Linked DNA regions of Xenopus tropicalis. The protein of the gene in region 1 purifies or fractionates together with the protein of each later gene. This does not show direct contact. Links are inferred from orthologs where the notes say so. Each region holds a gene or a part of one and is shown in the gene's direction. Other genes may lie near its edges.

Region 1 (5,726 bases):
GACACTACAATTCTTATTGTTACTTTCTATCACTTATCTTTCTATTAAGGCCTCTCCTGTTCCTATTCCTGTCTCTCTTTCAAACTACTGCTTGGTTGCTAGGTTAAAATTAGCCCCTAGCAACCAGATCCCTCTTTAAATTCCAAACGAGAGTTGCTGAACAAAAGGTAAATAATTCAAAAACTGCAAGTAACAAACAAAGACCAATTGCAAATTGTCTCAAAATAGCACTCTACATTATACTAAAGGTTAATTTAAAGAGACGGTTCACCTTTAAGATAACTTTTAGTATATTATACAATGGCATATTCAAGGCAACGTTTCTATTGGTCTTCATTATTTATTTTTTATAATTTTTGAATTATTTCCCTTCTTCTGCCTCTTTGCAGCTTTCAAATGGGGGTCACTGACCCCGGCAGCCAAACCCTATTGCTCTGTGAGGCTCCAGTTTTATTGTTATACTTATGTTTTATCATTTATTTATTTTCCTGTTCAGGCCTCTTTTATTCATATTCATGTCTCTCATTCCAACCACACCCTGGTTACTAAGGTAATTAGACCCTAGCAACCAGATAACTGCTTAAACTCCAAACTGGAGAGCTGCTGAACAATAATTAAAAAACTACAAATAGTAATAAATGAAGACCAACTGCAAATTGTCTCAGAATATTTCTCTCCGCATCATATTAAAAGTTAACTGTTAACCCTTTTAAAGGGCAAAGAAAGCCTGAGCCACTAGGGGTGCCAGTTCATAACCAATTACTATTTCCCCAGGCACTTTATTTTTAATACATAATGCAGCAACCCATGGTGATTGTCTCCACAGGGGCCACCAGCAGCTTGCCGGCACCCCCTCACTGTATTGAGGAAGACTAACAGGGCTTTGCTACACAGGGGCAGGGGGTGACTGGGAAGCTGGATAGATAACTCCATACCTCCCAACTGTGAAAAGTCCCTCATTTCCCTTTGATCTCCTGCACTGAAGCTAAAAAGATACAATGTTTCTCAAACTTAATTAACAAAAGTACCTTTTGGCAGAGAGCCCAGAATTCGTAACAAGCATCACCTGCACTTAGATACAGTGTTTCTCATGTTTAATTAAATAAGTAGCTTTTGGCAGAGAGCCCAGAAAGGTAAAAAGCCCCCCCCCCTGCACTGAGATACAAGTGTAACTAATAAGCTAAACAGGTTTCTTGGGGGAATGGAGACTCACAGCCTAAAGGCCAACTTCACCTTTTTCAGCAAAACTGGAATAACACATAAAACAGGACCCCCCCAAACCCCCAGAAATGTGATCAAACTTTAAATCACCTGGGGGTGTGTGTCCCTCTTTCCGTTTTCAAAATGTTGGCAGGTAACTGCTCTTTTGTTTTGTGACCCAGGCTTTCCATATACACAGGGGCCCCCAGTGATCCAGCTGTCTGACTAACAGGCTCCCTCATTGGCTGCAAGTACAAATATCCCACATTTTGGGCTCATAATGGTTTCCCATAGTTTAACCCCCCCCATTTGACTTATTAGTCTTAATGCCAAGAATATAGGCACTATGGTTGAACGTGATGGATGGATGTCTTTTTTCAACCCAACTTACTATGTTACTATGTAGGCCACACCTCCTGCCCTAGCTGAGCTGTAATTGGACAGGAAGATTAAGGGGAGTCAGTCAATGGGCCTAGAAGCAATCACCTCAGACAATACCCAGGGGAATCAGCATCATGGAGGGGGGGCATAGTTTTGGGGGGAAGAGCCTGTAATACCCCTGTAGCCCATATGTACCCTCCCCAAACTAACTATAACTGCCCCTCAGGCTGGGCCCCAATCCAAGTCACTACAGGGCCCGCCCCACTGCTTGGAAGCCACTAGTCCCGCCCAGGAGGGAAAAAAGTTACTAGTCCCGCCCACCGGACCATGACACCATGCGCTTGCACGCCATATCTAGCGGGAGCGCGCACCATTACATTTCCAAGGAGCGATTTTTAAAAGAGTAGCGGGACGCTCGTCCCCGCCCCTTTCATACCCATTGGCTAACAGCATAGCCAATCCAGTTCTTCTATTCCTTGCGCGCCGCTCTCCACATAACTTGCGGGACCGCGAATCTAAAGCTTTACTATGCGTGTCATTTTGTCCTGAGACGTGAATAGAATTGCATCTCTCCTAAAACCAATAAACATCCCGACTCAGTCTGCGAGTTTTAATTGAGAGCGCAGGAATGAGTCACGTACTGACTAACCATCACGTGAGCAGAGCCGCGCACGCCATAGGGTCCCGCCGCTCAGCCAATCGTTATGAAGGGCGCGTAAAGTAGTCCCGACCTTTGTTTGACTGGCATAGGAAGCGGCCAATCCCATCGAGCGTTTGACGGGGGCGGGGCTCAGATCTGACGTTCTACCCCTGACGCCAGCGCCATATCGCTGGATGACGCACTTTAGCTCCCTTGCGTGACGGGAGCGTGACTGCCGGTACCGGAGAGTCTGGGGAAAGCGTTTTCATCTACTGCTGTGTTGGGCGCGTACGAGCTGAGCTTTTGGTTGGGGGCGCTGGTGTCTGGAGGCCGCGGGCAGGTAGGCGGGGAGAGAGCGTCGGGCTGAGGTGTGGAGCGCATGGGGATTAGTGGGAGGTGTGAGCCGCCCCCTCCCGCTGTAGTGCGGTGGAACAGTCCGCCTTATTGCCTAACCTTCTCCGGAATGTTCCACTTCCATGTGTGGGGGGCGATTAAACCTGATACCCAGTCACTGCTTCCCATATCCAGGGCAGGACTGAGTTCCACATTTCCGCTTGCTGCCGGTTGCTACCGGTTTCTGGTTAGTGACAGGACTATGTTCCGCCTGGTTCCGGTGCTGCTGGGTTCTCTTGGTTACTGACGGGCCTGGGATCCCCAATGCAGTGTCCCCAATGAAACCCCTCCCCTCTGATAGTGACAGTTTGGGGTCTCCCCTCTCTGTGCCATTGCAGCCTCCATAGGTTTCTCTGCTGCGTCTGTCGCACCGCTGCCTACGTCTCTGTCCCCTAATGTGTTTGTTTCTATTGCCCCACATGGGCGTGTCCTAATGTACTGCCCCAGTCAGGCCCCTCTCTCTGTTTCCTGTGTCTTGTGCTTACAGATAAGGAGGCTTTCCCCATACAGGGAATCTCATATAATACTCAGAGTACTTCCACCACTTTGTTTTACTGTAAATGTTTTCATAACTCAACCTTATTAGTCACTTTTGTTTTTGTGTTTTTTCCAGGGCCCTGAATCTGTTCAAGAGCATTCCATCTCCTCTCTCAGGTAATGTATTTCTTTTGTAAGAACTGGGACTATAGCGGGGTGCCTGTTACCCCAATGTTTCTATATATCTGTAACCTTGTTATGGGCTAAGGGGGCCCAGCCTGAAGGCCAGTTAGGGGGGGATTTGGGGTGAGTGCTTATTTGTGCCCTGGGTACCCCTGGAACTATAGCGGGGTGACTGTTACCCCAATGTTTCTATATATCTGTAACCTTGTTATGGGCTAAGGGGGCCCAGCCTGAAGGCCAGTTAGGGGGGGATTTGGGGTGAGTGCTTATTTGTGCCCTGGGTACCCCTGGAACTATAGCGGGGTGACTGTTACCCCAATGTTTCTATATATCTGTAACCTTGTTATGGGCTAAGGGGGCCCAGCCTGAAGGCCAGTTAGGGGGGGATTTGGGGTGAGTGCTTATTTGTGCCCTGGGTACCCCTGGAACTATAGCGGGGTGACTGTTACCCCAATGTTTCTATATATCTGTAACCTTGTTATGGGCTAAGGGGGCCCAGCCTGAAGGCCAGTTAGGGGGGGATTTGGGGTGAGTGCTTATTTGTGCCCTGGGTACCCCTGGAACTATAGCGGGGTGACTGTTACCCCAATGTTTCTATATATCTGTAACCTTGTTATGGGCTAAGGGGGCCCAGCCTGAAGGCCAGTTAGGGGGGGATTTGGGGTGAGTGCTTATTTGTGCCCTGGGTACCCCTGGAACTATAGCGGGGTGCCTGTTACCCCAATGTTTCTATATATCTGTAACCTTGTTATGGGCTAAGGGGGCCCAGCCTGAAGGCCAGTTAGGGGGGGATTTGGGGTGAGTGCTTATTTGTGCCCTGGGTACCCCTGGAACTATAGCGGGGTGACTGTTACCCCAATGTTTCTATATATCTGTAACCTTGTTATGGGCTAAGGGGGCCCAGCCTGAAGGCCAGTTAGGGGGGGATTTGGGGTGAGTGCTTATTTGTGCCCTGGGTACCCCTGGAACTATAGCAGGGTGACTGTTACCCCAATGTTTCTATATATCTGTAACCTTGTTATGGGCTAAGGGGGCCCAGCCTGAAGGCCAGTTAGGGGGGGATTTGGGGGTGAAGTGTTTGGGGAATGAGTTACGTTTGGCTTTATTTATATTTTGGCTTGGCAGGTTTTAACTGTTTCACATCGGTAGCGTTTCTCTAAGTAGTCCACAAGTAATATATATTGTAGCTAATTGTTAGCTTGTGGTATTTCAGATAATCAGCTTTTGCTTCATTGTTTCATGCTTCAGAACCAGTAGTGCAGTGAATATAAATGGCCAGACACATACTCCATTCAGTGGCAAACACATTTATATTTAACTGGGGATAATGTGGAATGAATGTATATTGGACAGTTTGGGGTTATAGTCCCAGGAATGGGTATAAGACTGGCAGGTTTGTATGCGCTCTGGGTACTTGGGAGCAATGGTATAAAGATTATGTATATAATTCATACGTTCATTAACGGACAGTATTGTGTTTGTGTGAATATATAGATATATACACCCCGTATACATTCTCAGCGGTTGTATTCTGCTGCTTTGTGTTTATAGGGAACATATGGGGAAATGTCATAAAAGGTTCAAAGTTTCATGCTGGTAATCCCCCTAGAGCAGCCAATCAGCAGGCAGCATTTACTGGGCAAACAAGATTTTGGTTGCTAAGGGTTTCTGCACCTGGTAGTTCCTTTTATTCTATATGTTGAGTAGCATTTGTGTAAATCTCTTGCTTCCTTCAGTCATGGAATTACAGTATCACCCCAAAATCTTGTGTATGTGCCAGAATGGGGGGCCTGATGCCCATGCACTGGCTACACCGATTCATGGTGAAGAGGGAGGGGGAAAGTTTAAGTAATTGGATGCCCCGCCTCTATGCATTAGAGGCGGGGCAGACAATAGATGATTGACAGCTGTGATTTTTGCAGGATTGTTGCAGGCACTGCAAAGGCTGTGCGAGGCATTAAGGGGGCTGTTCACCTTGGAGGTAACTTTAAGTATGATGTAGAGAGTAGTATTCTGGGACAATTTGCAATTGGAGGACCTGAATAGGGAAAACAAGTTACAAAAAGTAACAATAACCATAAAACTGGAGCCTCACAGAGCAGTAGTGTTTTGGCTGCCGGGGTCAGTGACCCTAATTTGAAAGCTGGAAAAAGGCAGTAGAAGGCAACTATTTCAAAAACTATAAAACAAAAATAATGAAGACCAATTGAAAAGTTGCTTAGAATAGGTAGTTAACACAAAGGTGAACCTCTTTTTAAGGTGCCACTGGGCCATTGAGTTTTTTGATATGTAAAATAAAGCTGTAACTTTTTATCATTTGGATTTGCTCTGCTCCTCTCATGTTTTGGATTTCTTTGGGGATCTTCTAGGGGACCCCTGCAGTGAGCACCCACCTTATTGTATTGATTCTGTAGGTGTGCAGCATTACATACTTGAATTTCCACTGGGCCAT
Region 2 (5,588 bases), on another chromosome or scaffold:
CCTTAATGGAGAAGGATCTAGGGGTTTTTGTAGATCACAAGTTGTCTAATTCCAGGCAGTATCATTCTGTGGCTACTACAGCAAATAAAGTGCTGTCTTGTATAAAAAAGGGCATTGACTCAAGGGATGAGGACATATTTTTGCCGCTTTATAGGTCCCTGGTAAGGCCTCACCTTGAGTATGCAGTGCAGTTTTGGGCTCCAGTCCTTAAGAAGGATATTAATGAGCTGGAGAGAGTGCAGAGACATGCAACTAAACTGGTTAAGGGGATGGAAGATTTAAACTATGAGGTTAGACTGTCGAGGTTGGGGTTGTTTTCTCTGGAAAAGAGGCGCTTGCGAGGGGACATGATTACTCTGTACAAGTACATTAGAGGGGATTATAGGCAGTTGGGGGATGTTCTTTTTTCCCATAAAAACAATCAGCGCACCAGAGGTCACCCCTATAGATTAGAGGAACAGAGCTTCCATTTGAAGCAGCGTAGGTGGTTTTTCACGGTGAGGGCAGTGAGGCTGGGGAATGCCCTTCCTAGTGATGTGGTAATGGCAGACTCTGTTAATGCCTTTAAGAGGGGCCTGGATGAGTGGATCTAGAAATCCCACCTGCAGCCACTGATACTTTTCTACCTTAAAGTGGCCATATACCTTACAATTATTATCTTTCGTACGATCATTGGTTGCTGGAAAGATCACTCCCACCCTCCACTGACATTCAGGGCTGAATCGTCAGATATGGAGGTAGAAACAATAGGGATACTACCCTTATCTAACGATTTAGCCCTAAAGGCAAATTTTGATTGGGCATCATCAAAGTTTTTTGTCCTGCCCGTTCAATGATGTGATCGATATGACCCACCGCACACGCACCGAATATCGAAACCTCATTTCGTACGATATTGGTGGGTATATGACCAGCTTTAGGCCAATGACATACGAGATTAGTTGCCCTGCAATTAATCGCCTCTAGAGGTAGCAAGTAATCTCTCTTCAGTTAAGTGAAGTAATCCAAAGGTTTCTTGCGATTTACATTCTTACCTGTAGGAAAGAACTCGGGGAGATTATTTGCCACCGCTAGAGATTAATTTTCTTTGTGTCATCAGCAAAATAGCATTGTAATCATTGTAAACGTGATAGGCCATGGGGAGATTAGTCACTCGCAGTTAAATCTGGTTATAACGAATGACTAATTTCTGGCGTTTTCTGAAGTTGTGCAGTTTCCAAAACTATTGCGACTTTGGAAACACGTGCACCTTTCTGCCAGCAATTCCCCGCAATGCCATCCCACCACCTAGAATGTAAATCGCCAGTGGGATGGCATACGCAGCACCACAATTTGCCAAAGTTGTCTTGAGAGGAAATGGCTATGCCGCGTATGCCATCCCACCAGCGAATTTCATTTTAGCCCGTAGGATGGCATTGCGGGAAGATTAGTAGCCCATGACAACAGAGTTTTTTTGCACAGTGACTAATCTCCCTGTGTGTCACTGGCCTCAATTGTGGGCGACAAATCTCCTCAGGGGCCGGCACCTTCACTATGGCTTCATTGGCGTTATTGCTTGTGACTGGGCTGCAGGGCTACTAATCTCGCCCTTGGGGCGCACATAGCAGCGCTTCTGTTTTACAAGCCGTGGCTCTGAATAGTAAACAGTTCAGCGAGCAGCTCGAAACTAGCTCAGAAGATAATAAAATTCCTAGAAAGCTAAATTGCGCGGCCTACCATCACACACAAATACCCTCCCCCTTTTCCACAGTTCGTACGCTGCGTATTTAGAATGCGACCGGATGGATGAATGTAAAAGCGCGAAGTCTTGCGCAGGCGCGTAGAGGTTCTGATGCTGTGACGTCAGGCTCATGTCTGGGCCATGAAAAAAAAAAAAATCCATGCTGCTTTCTGACGTCTAGTTCGAACCGCTAAACCAACAGCCCTGTCCAAACTGCTTGACACTCCGACTTGTGCACTATGTTCGTGGCAAGAAGTATCGCTGCCGATCACAAAGATCTCATCCACGATGTGTCGTTTGATTTCCATGGCAGGAGGATGGCGACATGTTCCAGTGACCAGAGTGTGAAAGTAAGCGGGAGAATTTTGTGGGCACCCATCCTAAGGCCTTCCTGCTGTTTTTTTAACTGCACAACGCAAAATTAGGAAGCGTGTGGCTATATTTAATCCTCCTGTTCTATAGCTTCGTGCGGATATATTCTCCAGAGGATGTTTTCCGTTTGGTAAAACTGGCATAGCTGTAAACATGCTCCAAGATCCGAGTGGATGAGCCTGTCTTCCTTTTGCCATTTTTAGCTACCCCCCCTGCAGCACTGCTCACCTCTTATAGTACCCTGGTCATACCTGTTCTTTAAAGGCAGAATAGTGCAACGGGATTGGTGGGATCTAGGGTTGCCATCTGTTCAGTTTTGACCTTATGATGTTATTAACTTATATCGGGGATACCCAGCCTTTTATACCTGTGAGCCACATTTAAATGGAAAAAGTGTTTGGGAGCAACACAAGCATGGAAAAAGTTCCTGAGGGAGCCAATAAGAGCTATAATTGGTTACTTAATAGCCCCTATGTGGACTGGCTTTTTTATGCAACCAAAAGGTTGCTTCCTTACCAGAAATTCAAAAATAATGGGTTGGGGTGCAACATCCAAGGGGTTGGGGTGCAACATGTTGCTACTGAGCCACTGGTTGGGGATCACTGCCTTATATGTCACTGCTTTGCCCCCAATCATTCCACCCTTTTGTTTGGTTTTTGCTGAGGGCAAAGTTGGCAGACCTACCCGGATCTGTGTTGCACATGCATCAGGTTGGTGATCGTTGTATAGAGAACATAAACACTGCACCAACCCTGTTGCACTGCTATTGATATAATATAGGTACAGTAATTGCGGCAATATTAGGGGACCTCAGTGGTGTGGTTTGGGAGGGGGACTCCTTTTGAGGGGCCTAGGGTTTTTAAAGGGCATTGGTTTTCCTTTAAACCAAAATAAAGATAACACCAAGCAGCTCTTGCTAGGACCACTTATAATGCTGGTGCCAGTTTTTAATTGCCTTAACACAAATATAAACAGTGCTCCAGCCTATCAATACATAGCTCTAAGCAGCACAATATAACTCAGGGAGGGGGGGGGGGGGGCAGGCCACCTCTATTAGAAAAGATTAGCAGCTTGGATTTATTTAGGCATAGTGACACATTCCTGTTTTGACTGGAACATGTCACTTTCCCTGTAAGGGACATATTTATTCAACTGTGAAAAACTAGCTTCCTGTTAAAGCATTGGCTTTTTATGCATACTACACATATCTTGACCTTTTCTTGATTTGATTTAAAAAAAAATAAAAAATCCCCATTTACACAATTGTTGGATTTATCCAGGAAATGTTCTCCAGTTATGATCAGTTGAAAAACATTTTATGCTTTTGGTCAAAACTTTCTTGTCTGCTGTTCTTGTCAACCAGGATGAAAAGTCATGTCAGGTTTTTCAAACTGTGTAAAGTGCTGCAACAGTGCTGGTTGACCTTCAGATTCACTTTTAGTATGTTATAGAATGGCCTATTCTTAGTAACTTTTAAGCTGGTTTTATTTTTTAATTAGTTGCTTTCCTCTCTTGACTCTTTCCAGCTTTCAAATGGGGGGGGCACTGATTTTTTTTATTACTTAAATTTCTATTTAGGTCATACTCTGTTAATATTCCTGCCTTTCTTTTAGATAGTTGTCTGGTTGGTAGGTTAAATTGCACACTAGCAACCAGATAGCTAGTGAAATTCCAAACTGGAGAGCTGCTGAACAAAAAGCTAAATAACTCAAAAACGACAAGTAATAAAAAATGAAGACCAATTGCAAAATTTCTCCAAATACCATTCTACATCATACTTAAAGTTAACTTTAAAATAAATTTCACTCAGAAAAAATCTAATAGGAAAGAATGATAAATACAGCAATATTTCCTGGCACTTAGTACGCCGGTGACAGTGTGACCGTTGATAAATGTGGCTTTATATGTCCGCACATGTTGGAGTTATCTAAGCAGATAACTTTATCACCCCTTCACCTATAACATGTAGTCTTTAGGTCTGTAAACCTATTACTTATATATATAAGCTAAACAAAATGCCTTGCTTTTTACTCTCACACCAACATGTGGCATGCTGTGAATCAATCGGGGCTATATATATTTGTTTGTAGGTTTGGGACAAAAGTGAAAATGGCGATTGGCATTGTACTGCAAGCTGGAAGGTAAGTTACTGTCCTAAAATATCTGTTATATGCATACTATTTATTGGGTATATGCAAATAAAATGCAGTGGAATTTTCAGAAAATGATATTAAAGGGGAGGCCATTATATCAAGTAAGTGTAAAACATAGAGCCGCATTAAAGGAGAAGGCAAGATATAATCACTGGGAGGTGCCAAAATGTTAGGGGTTGTTAGAGGTTGGATTTTAGTCCTATGACATGCAGAGGTGCTGTTGAGGAAATCAGTGTCAGTCAGAAATACCCATATTATCTGTAACAGCTTGGAATAGCAAGTCTAACAAATGTTATGTCTGTTGTAGACAGAAGCAGTGAGAGACAGAGACTGCTTAAAAAGACCAAAACAAGCATTTCTACAACAGCAACATTGTGACCAAAATTACAATTCTGAAGGTTTCTTCCACCTGCAGTAGACAGATCTAAGTTAATTTCTGCACTAAAAGACCAGTAAAACAATAAACAAATACTGTATATACTCGAGTATTAGCCGAGTTTTTCAGCACCAAAAATGTGCTGAAAAAGTCACCCTTGGCTTATACTCGAGTATATGGATTTGAAGATGTAAGTGTCCCCCCCCCCGTGAATGGTCGTACGTGCGTGCGCTTGCCTTTTTAAGTTGGGAGCGCACACGGCAGAAATCCAACAAGCTGTTTTGTTTGGATGAGCTGTTAAGTATTAGGGTGATATTCAGCCACGCTGGGTGACAAGTTGCACAGCTCTGAAGTCAATGGGAAGCAGACTGTGGTGGACATCAGGTATTTTTTTTACCGCGCTACAAATATAGACAATCAAAATGTTCCATGTGAAAATAGTCTAAGTCCCCATTATGGGCCACTTAGACAATAGAAAGCTCTCTGGAGGAGCAAACAGCTATTTAGTAGCTTGAAGGCAGCATTACGGGCTGTTCAACCAAGGTTTGGGCCTCACAGCAGGATGGGAACGCACACAGCAGGATGGGAGAGCACACAGGGGAGCGCACACAGCAGGTTGGCAAGTACTTAGTATGGCAGCTTTCTTAGCCTTCCCAAACTTGCCTGACAGTTAAAAAAAAAAAAAAAAAAAAACAACAAAGCAGTAGGAGCTGCATTTCCCACCCTAGGCTTATACTTGAGTCAATAAATTTTTCCAGTTTTCTTAGGTAAAATTAGGTACCTCGGCGATCGGCTTATACTAGAGTATATACGGTAAATAAACTGTTTCGTATGTGTTTAATTTTAATATACTGCTGCCTTGCACTTACTGGTGTATTAAACAGGACATTTCTTGTCTGGAAATAGTTTTTCTAGATGTTCAATCAACAGATACTAACTAGGGCCTAATTTGCTAGTCCTTTTTTAA
Region 3 (4,247 bases), on another chromosome or scaffold:
CAACCAATGACAGGGCCCGGATTTTATTAAAGGGGGCCCGAGCTACTAAGAAAAACTGTAGCATCGCCGGGCCCCCTTTGAAAGTAAAAATTGCGGCCCTGCCTACGGCACACCAGGCAACATCTCGCGGCACACTAGTGTGCCACGGAACAGTGGTTGAAAAACGCTGATCTAGGGTGTGTTACTATATATTTTAATCTTTTCATTCTTCCTTTTCGCTTTACCAATTTTAAAAAATTATTTTAGCTGTGAACATAAATTAAAAGTTATATTTTAAGATTCTACAGGTGTGCCAAAAAAATTGTGTTCTTTTCATCTTTTGCTTTATATGTGACACACAATGGCCTTCCAGAGATTGTCTGTGTGGGCATGGAATTAAATATCGCACTATTATCAGCAGAGCTCGTGGTTTTCACTTACAGGTATCGGACCCCTTATCCGGAAACCCATTATCCAGAAAGTTCCGAATTACGGAAAGGCCATCTCCCATAGACTCCATTATAATCAAATAATTACCATTCTTAAAAATTATTCCCTTTTTCTCTGTAATAATAAAACAGTACCTTGTACTTGTTCCCAACTAATATATGATTAATCCTTATTGGAAGCAAAACAATCCTATTGGGTTTAATTACTGTTTAAATAATATTTTAGTAGACTTAAGGTAGGAAATCTGAATTACGGAAAACCCCAGGTCCCTACCATTCTGGATAATGGGCCCCATACCTGTAATAACAACTGCAACTCTGCACCTGGGCTACCAGGAATTAAGGATGCAAAATACACTATTTAATTTACATTTTCAGCCACTTACAGGAAAAAAATATCACACAAACTGCTCACTGCACAAAGTAATTGGATAACACTGAGACAGCAAGTACAATTTTTATTGTTACTGTAGGACGACCAAGCCAAAAGTAAATGTGCCAGTCAATGGTTATTACTGGTTGCTGCACTAAGAAACAATGGCAGACACTAATTCTTAGACTGAGGGGAAAAAACGACTTCCTTTTATCATTTTATAGATTGTAAGCTCTACGGGGCAGGGACCTCCTTCATCTTGTGTTTCTGACTCTTATTGCAACTGTACCTTGTATTTATTGTTATACTTTGTATTTATCCATTATCTTTAACCCCGTCTGTATTAATGAATTCTACTGCACAGCGCTGCGTACATAAGTAGCGCTTTATAAATAAAGATATACATACATACATACATACATGGGAAAGTTATAGGATCACCCCGTCTATTATCATCCACTGTACAATTTTTAGGGCTTTTGTTTCCTGTATTATTTGGTTCGGTTATTATTCTTCCATTGCTTAGCAAACTATTTGCATGAATCCCATTTTCTTCCTTGTAGGTCAAGAAAAATATAACTTGTTTAAAGAGCAAGTGGATTTGACGCAACCTGACTGACTGAACGATAACCCCTGGTTCCAACCAGTTGGCCAGTTGCAGCCTAACAGGCCGGGCCGTTGCTTATGACGTCACTAGCAGCGCGCCATTTCCTGCACTTCCTGAGACAACGCGGGTAGCGAGCGCTTTTCAAACTATCCCGACACAGCGGCTACCGGATCCAGCATGTTTCCGTCACCCCGTGCTCAGGGTGTGGGCTCAGCGCGGCGGCCGTTTAATGCCCGACTGACTGGCGGCAGGAAAGGCTTGGGTCCGGGAGTGAGCGCCAGTTCTTCCCCGTCGGCGCTGTACTCGCCTGTGGGTCGTAGAGTTTCCAGCAGTGGCGCCAGATCCACCCCGTCCCGCGTTTATCTCCACCCGGCCGCCTCTGAGACGGTGAATTACAATGTACAGCTGTTTGGTTCCTCCTTGCCAGTTAAAGTAATGGAGGCCCTGTCTAACTCCGGTGTAGACGAGCCCTTGGCTGCTCGCATCCATGAAGGCGGATGGGCATGGCTGGCGTGCAAGGATCGCCTGATCATTTGGAAGATAAGTCACTCCACCTCTGCTAAGTTAATGGTGTGCAAAGAACTGCCTCTTCCACTGAGTGACAGCGAATGGTCTGCTGATTTAGCGGATATTTGTGCCCACACGGGTGACTCTGCTGCTGGACAGGCAGTGGCATTAATGGCGGCCACTCCTGAAGGGTCAGCCCGCTACTGGCCTAACATTCTCCATGAGAGCAACTATATAGAGTCTTACGCTGACTTTGGCTCCTCTCTTTGTGCATTTGTTACAGCTGTAAAAGGCAACAGTTTCATCCTGTCTTCAGAAAAAAATCACCTTGTACGACTGACACCCGACGCGTCCGGAAAGATTAATCAACGTATTCTGCCGCAAGGTCAGGGCATGCTGTCCGGTATTGGCCGCAGGGTGTCCACGCTCTTTGGCATCTTGTCTCCTGCTGTTGAATCCACGCTCTGCAGTGTTCTCTGGGATAAGGGAGATTGCTTCTATACTCTCACAGACTCAAGTATAAACAAATGGGACTTGGATGATGCTTCGGAAAGTCACGTGCTTACCTGGGACATGACCAGAGTCCTAAGAGAAAACATATCTGATGCCATTTGGGGGTCTGAGAGCAACTATGATGATATAAAAAATGGAATTAACATTGATTATTTAAGTCTTAACCAGAACTGTGATGGTTTAGTCATCCTGGCTGCTGCCTGGCATCCTGGTGATAACCCCTGCCAGATATATTACACACTTGTAACCGTGAAAGACGAAGGTTATAATATTTCTGATGAAATTACAGTGGAAGTCACTCAGTTCAACCCTGTGTTTCAGTCTAGAGATATGCAGCTGTGCCAGCTTGTGATACCAAATTTTAGCAGCCAGGCCTGTTACTTGTATACCCAAGATATGGTCTTTGCATGTTCAACAGGAACTGGAAGGAGCACTTTGCCTCAAGAAAAGATTCCATTTGAAGCACAAGGAGATAATATTATAGGAGCTGGATCCTGTGAAGGTTGGCCAGTTTTTTTCATTAGAAAGAGTGGTATGCTGACCGTTGTTGCTAGAGAGACTGCTTCTGTGCTCCCAGAGCACATGGAAGAGTCACTGTTGTCCGTGTCTAAATCCAGCTCTCAGGCTGCAGTAAAGGACTCAACTTCAAGACCTGACCAGATTGCTCATGATGATAAGACCAAACTTCTGAAGGCCGCTTTTTTGAGATGTTGCAGGAAAGACATACTGGGGGCACAGAGCATGGTGGATAGCCTGTTCTCAGATTCAGACATGGGACCAGATGATGAACTGGATCAAGCAGTAAACCAAATAAGCGTCGATTTGATTGATGATTATCCTGCCTCTGATCCTCGTTGGGCTGAATCTGTCCCTGAAGAGGCAGCTGGATTTAGCAACACTTCTCTAATTCTCTTGCATCAGCTGGAAGATAAGATGAAAGCTCACTCCTTTTTTGTGGATTTCCTTCATCAAGTTGGACTTTTCAGTCGTTTGAGCACTTGTCAAGCAAAAGGAATGTTCGTAGCAACTCGACTGTTGCTGTGTGAGCATGCAGAGAAACTGTCTGCTGCAATTGTTTTAAAGAACCACCATGCTAAGCTCCCTGCCTTGGTTAACTCTGCCATACAACTTGCACTTGATAAAAGGATGTGCTCCATACCCCAGAATCTCACTGCCGCCGATGTCTACTTTAGAGAGGTATCCCAAATGGATATTATCTTTGAATGCCTGGTAGACAAAGAGGAAGCTGACTTGGAAAGTACTTCCATGGACTCAGTTGAATGGGCAAATATAGTTGTCAATATCAATACTATTCTGAAAGACATGCTACATGCTGCCTGTCAGTACAGACAAAGTAAAAATTCTCTCTATAAAAATGAAAGTGGAATGCAAGAGCCCGAGTATGTTCCCTGGACTGCTTCTAGTGGAATTGCAGGTATTAGGTCTGTTGTTACACGTCAGCATGGTGTAATATTGAAGATCTACCCACAAGCGGATAGCAGCCTTCGTACTATACTAATTGAGCAGCTTGCAGCCTTGCTAAACTACTTGCTTGATGATTATGTCATCCAACTAAAATCAGTTGATAAACGGACTAATCAAGAAAGATACAGTGTCCTGGAAATGGAGTATGCTCAGAAGCGGTCAGAACTTTTAGCTCCTTTGTTAAGCCTAGGACAGTATGCCTGGGCTTCAAATCTTGCTGAGAAGTACTGTGACTTTGATATCTTGGTGCAGATATGTGAAATGACTGATAATCAGAGCAGGCTGCAAAGGTACATGACTCTATTTTCAGATCAGAATTTTTCAGATTTTCTGT
Region 4 (4,940 bases), on another chromosome or scaffold:
TTCTTGCAGAAGATGTGGATGCTTGGATTTCGCCAACGCATTTTATACTGTTTTGCATAAATTATTGCTTTGGGTCTGCTTTCTATGCAGGCCAATAAATTCCATCCAGGAAGTATGCTCTTGGAAAGGGCTCTGGACAATCTGGGTGGCTTAGTGGCAGATGAAATTATGCTTTTGGAATTTAAAAATATACAATATACATAAATATTCAAATAATGAGAAATAGGCTGTAGGTGCAGAAACTGCTGCAGGTGCACTTTTATTGGCACAAGTGTGTTGTAGATAATAACTTGGTTGTAGCAAGCAATGCCAGTCAGCAGGTTGGAAGGGCCAACCATAGATATCAAACGGTAACAGCCCAACCTCCACTTGAATAATGTCATAGAATAAGGAACGATACAGATTGAACCATGGTCATACATTTGCAGATAACCTTAAGAATTTTTTAATAAACATTATGGTTACAACAGCAGCACATATTTAGTGGCTCTACTAAATATACTTGTGGGTGATGCTGTAGCCAAACCCCAGACTATTTATAACTTCTTAATTCAGATCCTGGTATATACAGTAGCAGTATCTCCATTGTACATATTTCTTTCATTTTATTTAATTTAATTGTTATTGATAGCTTGGCTGAGTGTACGAACCCCTGTTGCCATAATATGGGTAAGCTCTTGAAGGAGATCTAGTATGGTTGGGGCAAGTAGCCTGATTTAAATGCATGTTTTCAACATTTGGAGCAAGCCTCATCATTTCCTTTTAGCCAAAGAGTGGTCACATATGCTTTAAGCAATATATAAAGGTGGATCATTCTGCAGTCTTTAGTGTTTGTTCCTACTTTTGATCAAAAATTTAAAACTGACTAGACTCCTGTTTATCACAGACATGGGATCCCTTAGCCAGAAACCCCTGGAAAAATCTGAGTTATGCAATGTTTATCTTCCATGAATTCCATTTTGAAATTATTTGAAGTCAATTTTTTATAAATAATAAAACAGTAGAATCTACTTGATCCTAACTATGTTACATACCTATTGTTGCCAAAACAGTACTATTGTGGGTTTTTGTAATGTTTACTTGTTTTTTTAGTAGACCTAAGATAAGGCATCTTTGCAATTTGCATCACCATATCTGGAAATCCCAGGACCCAACCATTCTGGATAATAGATGTCTACCTGTACATACATATATGCACCTAATGGCTGTTCACTAAATGAATTGTTAAATGATTGTTAATACGCATAATAATAATAATTTCAGTAACCCCTAATTTTCTCCCTTGCTAAAAAAAAAACAAAAAACACCTAACCCCATCTGCATGTAGAAGTGCTTCAGTGAGAAAATTCCAAAAGGTTGCATCTAGTGCATATTAAAATGGGACCTCCTTTCTTATATTCTCAGTGGAAGCCCTTGTGTCTGCTGTAAACTGCACTTCATACCCAAGATGTGGCCTTAACAGTGCTATGTAAAGGGGAATAACACTATCTCTTTGCAACTGTATACTGTTTTAACAGCAGAATCCCCTGACTGACAGTCCCATTAAGGGTGTTAGTCGATTGCATTATTTTTTGATTCCTGATGTGTAACCATATATGTATCTACACTGTATCTCACCTGCCACTTAGCTGCCCAGATAGATAGTTCGTCCAGATCCTACTAAAAGGATGCAACACTTTGGAAGGAATTGGTCTGAATAGTTTTGAGTTATCTGCCATTACCAGAACATGTCAAGTTTATTGACATGTTACATGACAGGTTTATTCATTAATTTAGAGTTTTTGTTGCTAACACTGTTTTAATAAACCTTAAACAAATGTTGAGAGCAATAAACAAATCTGTAATTCACACTAGAAGCAAGTTTGTTTGTGATGGATAGAAGCAAACAAATTTCAGTTTGTCTGAATTTCAGTTCAGACAAAAATAGTTGGACAAATTAAACCTAGATTAGTTCTGCCAATATTACAAGGGAATTGGTTTTAGTTTTTTTAAGAAAGGTGTTTGTTTTAGTTACTTTATTTTTTTCTTTTCCTCCAGATGATGCAGACAGCAGTACTATGCATGGAGTAACATTTCTTCGTACAACAGAGATACTGACTGTGAATTCAGTAGGCCAACTAAAGTTGTGGGATTTGAGAAAGCAAGGCAATGATCCTACCCAGATCTTCTCTGTGTGAGTTAAACTGCAACCTATACCGAGCTCCTATTCACTTTTTGTACATTTCTGAAACTGTCAGACACACTCGGATCCCTGACTGACAGTTTAAGTAACATAGTAAGTTAGGTTGAAAAAAGACATACGTCCATCACGTTCAACCATAATGCCTATATATAACCTGCCTAACTTCTAGTTGATCCAGAGGAAGGCAAAACACCCCATCTGAAGCCTCTCAAATTTGCCGCAGAGGGGAAAAAAATTCCTTCCTGGCTCCAAGATGGACCAGTCCCTGGATCAACTTGTACTAAGAGCTATCTCCCATAACCCTGTATTCCCTCACTTGCTAAGAAGCCATCCAGCCCCTTCTTAAAGCTATGTAATGTATCAGCCAGCACAGATGATTCGGGGAGGGAATTTCACAACTTCACAGCTCTCACTGTAAAAAATCCTTTCCGAATATTTAAACGGAACCTCCCTTATTCTAAACGCAGTGGGTGCCCTCGTGTCCATTGGAAGGACCTACTGGTAAATAAGGCATTAGAAAGGTTATTATATGATCCCCTTATATATTTATACATAGTTATCATGTCACCTCTTAAGCGCCTCTTCTCCAGTGTAAACAGACCCAACTTGGCCAGTCTTTCTTCATAACTGAGACTTTCTATACCCTTTACCAGCTTAGTTGCCCTTCTCTGGACCCTCTCTAATTCAATAATGTCCCGTTTGAGCACTGGAGACCAAAACTGAACAGCATATTCTAGATTGGTCCTTACCAGGGCTCTGTAAAGGGGAAGAATAACACCCTCCTCCCGTGAATCTATACCCCTTTTAATACAGCTAAACCATTTATCTCTAGACACTGCATTTCTTTAGGTGGTGGTTTTTATTATATTTCTTAATAAGAGCACATGGGAGAAAAGAGTGTGCAAGAGCTACTGTCACAAAAAGGTAAAATATCATAACTGTGAATGCATTCTCTTTGAATAGCTTGATGCAGCATTTACTCATAAATACCCAAACTATGTAGCATGTAGGAATAGTGAATGGTTGATGCTTCAGACCTGGTAAACAAAACATACTATGCTTGTTTTATATATCCAGGCACCCATAACAGAAAAGTAATCCTTGAATATCTTTTAGGTTCAAATATCAAAAGGGTATCCACTTTATTTTATCTTTTGTTTACCCTGGGGGTTGAAAGTTTACATACACTTGCTAGTATTTAGTGGCATTGCCGTTTAATTGCTTAACTTGAATCAAAGGTTTGGGTTAGCCGTCAAGCTTCTAAAGTATTTGGCCATTCATCCTTGAAGAACTGTTCTAGTCAGGTTGGTCAGCCAATTTGCTGGGATATTTTTTTCAGTCCAGTCCACACAATTTTAATAGGATGCAGGTCTGGGCATTAATCGCTACTCCAGTACTTTCATATTGTTTTCTTTTTACAACTTTTTGAGGTGCATTCTGTATAAGTCACACTGGAGAACACAGCTGTGACCTGGTGTCCTAATGCTTTGGTTATCAGTAGATCCTCCGGTGGACACAAAGGCATCCATTCAGATTAGGTGAAAGGATATTCCAAAAAGGGGTTTTCAGAGTGATGGATGTGAAAGTGTGGAGCTCTTTAAATAGACTTTTAATATATAGTTGATGTAGATTGAAAGGGTTTTATAAAACCTATTAGGACATATTTATTCATTTTGGATTTGTCAGAATGTGTTTTTTCTGGGGTAAACCTACTGTTAGTGAGATTTTTGACCTTGAATTCCAAGGTATCAAATTTTTGGAGCAGTGCATTGGTGGTAGTTGCTGATGGAAGCAAAAACTACATAATAGTTTTCCTAGGTAAAATATATGTAGCCCCCACCCCCGGGACTTACTCTTAAAGTGAAAGTACAGAATGTTCAAAAACAAACAGGGGAATTATATTAATTTTACAAACAAGTGTTATGGAGTGAAAAAAAAAAAATAGTAATAGCGCATAGGACAGTTTTTTCAACAGTGTATTTTTCTGGCAGAGAAATGCCTTAAACCACCTATACCATAGCAAGTACAGGCCGTTCTTCTCCCAAGAACACACGTTAGAGCATTTTAATTACCACTTGTACTAGCAGTATTAATCATCGGGGAGTTTTGTGATAATGTTGAATGAAAAGCACCTTGAGTAATGAACATGAAGCAGTAAAAATTTAAACCTCCACCTGTCCCCTTTCTATGTGCATTAGTCACAGCGCATTTTATACTTTCAAGAGCCATGACCGTTTGAAAAAATTATTAAGGTACAGGATTCTGCTCGGATTCCATCCAACCAGTATTATCTAATGTGTTTTTTTTTTTGTTTTTTTTTAAATAATGTGTTTCTTCATGACAAGAGTCCCTTTAACTGAAGTGTGAAATTCTGGAAGAAGGCAATTTCCTTTTATTAAGCAGCCTCATTTCATTTTGCATGCAGTGATGCCTATTTTACTTCATGTAAAGGTATTTTTGAACACTTTTTGTCCAGGAAAAAGGCGATCTCCTGCAGGTGACAAAGTGTTGTGTGTGTTTGCCCTCAAGGACCACTAAAAAGGAAAATATATTTATTCACAATTAAAGTTTGTGTCTGCTGATGGAGCACATACAAATACAGCAGGGAAAATAAATATTGAACACGTTGACACTTTTCTCAGTAAATATATTTCTAATGGGGCTGTTGACATGAAATTTACACCAGATGTCGGTAACAACCCAAGTAATCCACACTTACAAAGAAATCAAAACAAATAAATCTTTAAATTAATTAATA

The links.
Region 2: the proteins of nup98 (region 1) and seh1l fractionate together in Homo sapiens (co-fractionation; 3 studies listed by BioGRID and IntAct, with this or other methods). This does not show direct contact. The link is inferred for Xenopus tropicalis from reciprocal best matches to the Homo sapiens genes NUP98 and SEH1L.
Region 3: the proteins of nup98 (region 1) and nup133 purify together in Homo sapiens (affinity purification with mass spectrometry; 6 studies listed by BioGRID and IntAct, with this or other methods). This does not show direct contact. The link is inferred for Xenopus tropicalis from reciprocal best matches to the Homo sapiens genes NUP98 and NUP133.
Region 4: the proteins of nup98 (region 1) and nup43 purify together in Homo sapiens (affinity purification with mass spectrometry; 4 studies listed by BioGRID and IntAct, counting the BioPlex papers as one, with this or other methods). This does not show direct contact. The link is inferred for Xenopus tropicalis from reciprocal best matches to the Homo sapiens genes NUP98 and NUP43.

What each region holds. Positions count from the first base shown.
Region 1 is NC_030678.2:177,462,876-177,468,601, reverse strand, and holds the start of nup98 (nuclear pore complex protein Nup98-Nup96), read left to right. Parts: upstream 1-2,322; 5' UTR 2,323-2,561; intron 2,562-3,227; 5' UTR 3,228-3,268; intron 3,269-5,726. UniProt on the Homo sapiens protein: Plays a role in the nuclear pore complex (NPC) assembly and/or maintenance. NUP98 and NUP96 are involved in the bidirectional transport across the NPC. May anchor NUP153 and TPR to the NPC.
Region 2 is NC_030682.2:103,475,605-103,481,192, reverse strand, and holds the start of seh1l (nucleoporin SEH1), read left to right. Parts: upstream 1-1,896; 5' UTR 1,897-1,959; coding exon 1,960-2,070; intron 2,071-4,182; coding exon 4,183-4,233; intron 4,234-5,588. UniProt on the Homo sapiens protein: Component of the Nup107-160 subcomplex of the nuclear pore complex (NPC). The Nup107-160 subcomplex is required for the assembly of a functional NPC.
Region 3 is NC_030679.2:125,105,764-125,110,010, forward strand, and holds the start of nup133 (nuclear pore complex protein Nup133), read left to right. Parts: upstream 1-1,447; 5' UTR 1,448-1,585; coding exon 1,586-4,247. UniProt on the Homo sapiens protein: Involved in poly(A)+ RNA transport. Involved in nephrogenesis.
Region 4 is NC_030681.2:58,278,350-58,283,289, reverse strand, and holds part of nup43 (nucleoporin Nup43), read left to right. Parts: intron 1-2,037; coding exon 2,038-2,173; intron 2,174-4,940. UniProt on the Homo sapiens protein: Component of the Nup107-160 subcomplex of the nuclear pore complex (NPC). The Nup107-160 subcomplex is required for the assembly of a functional NPC.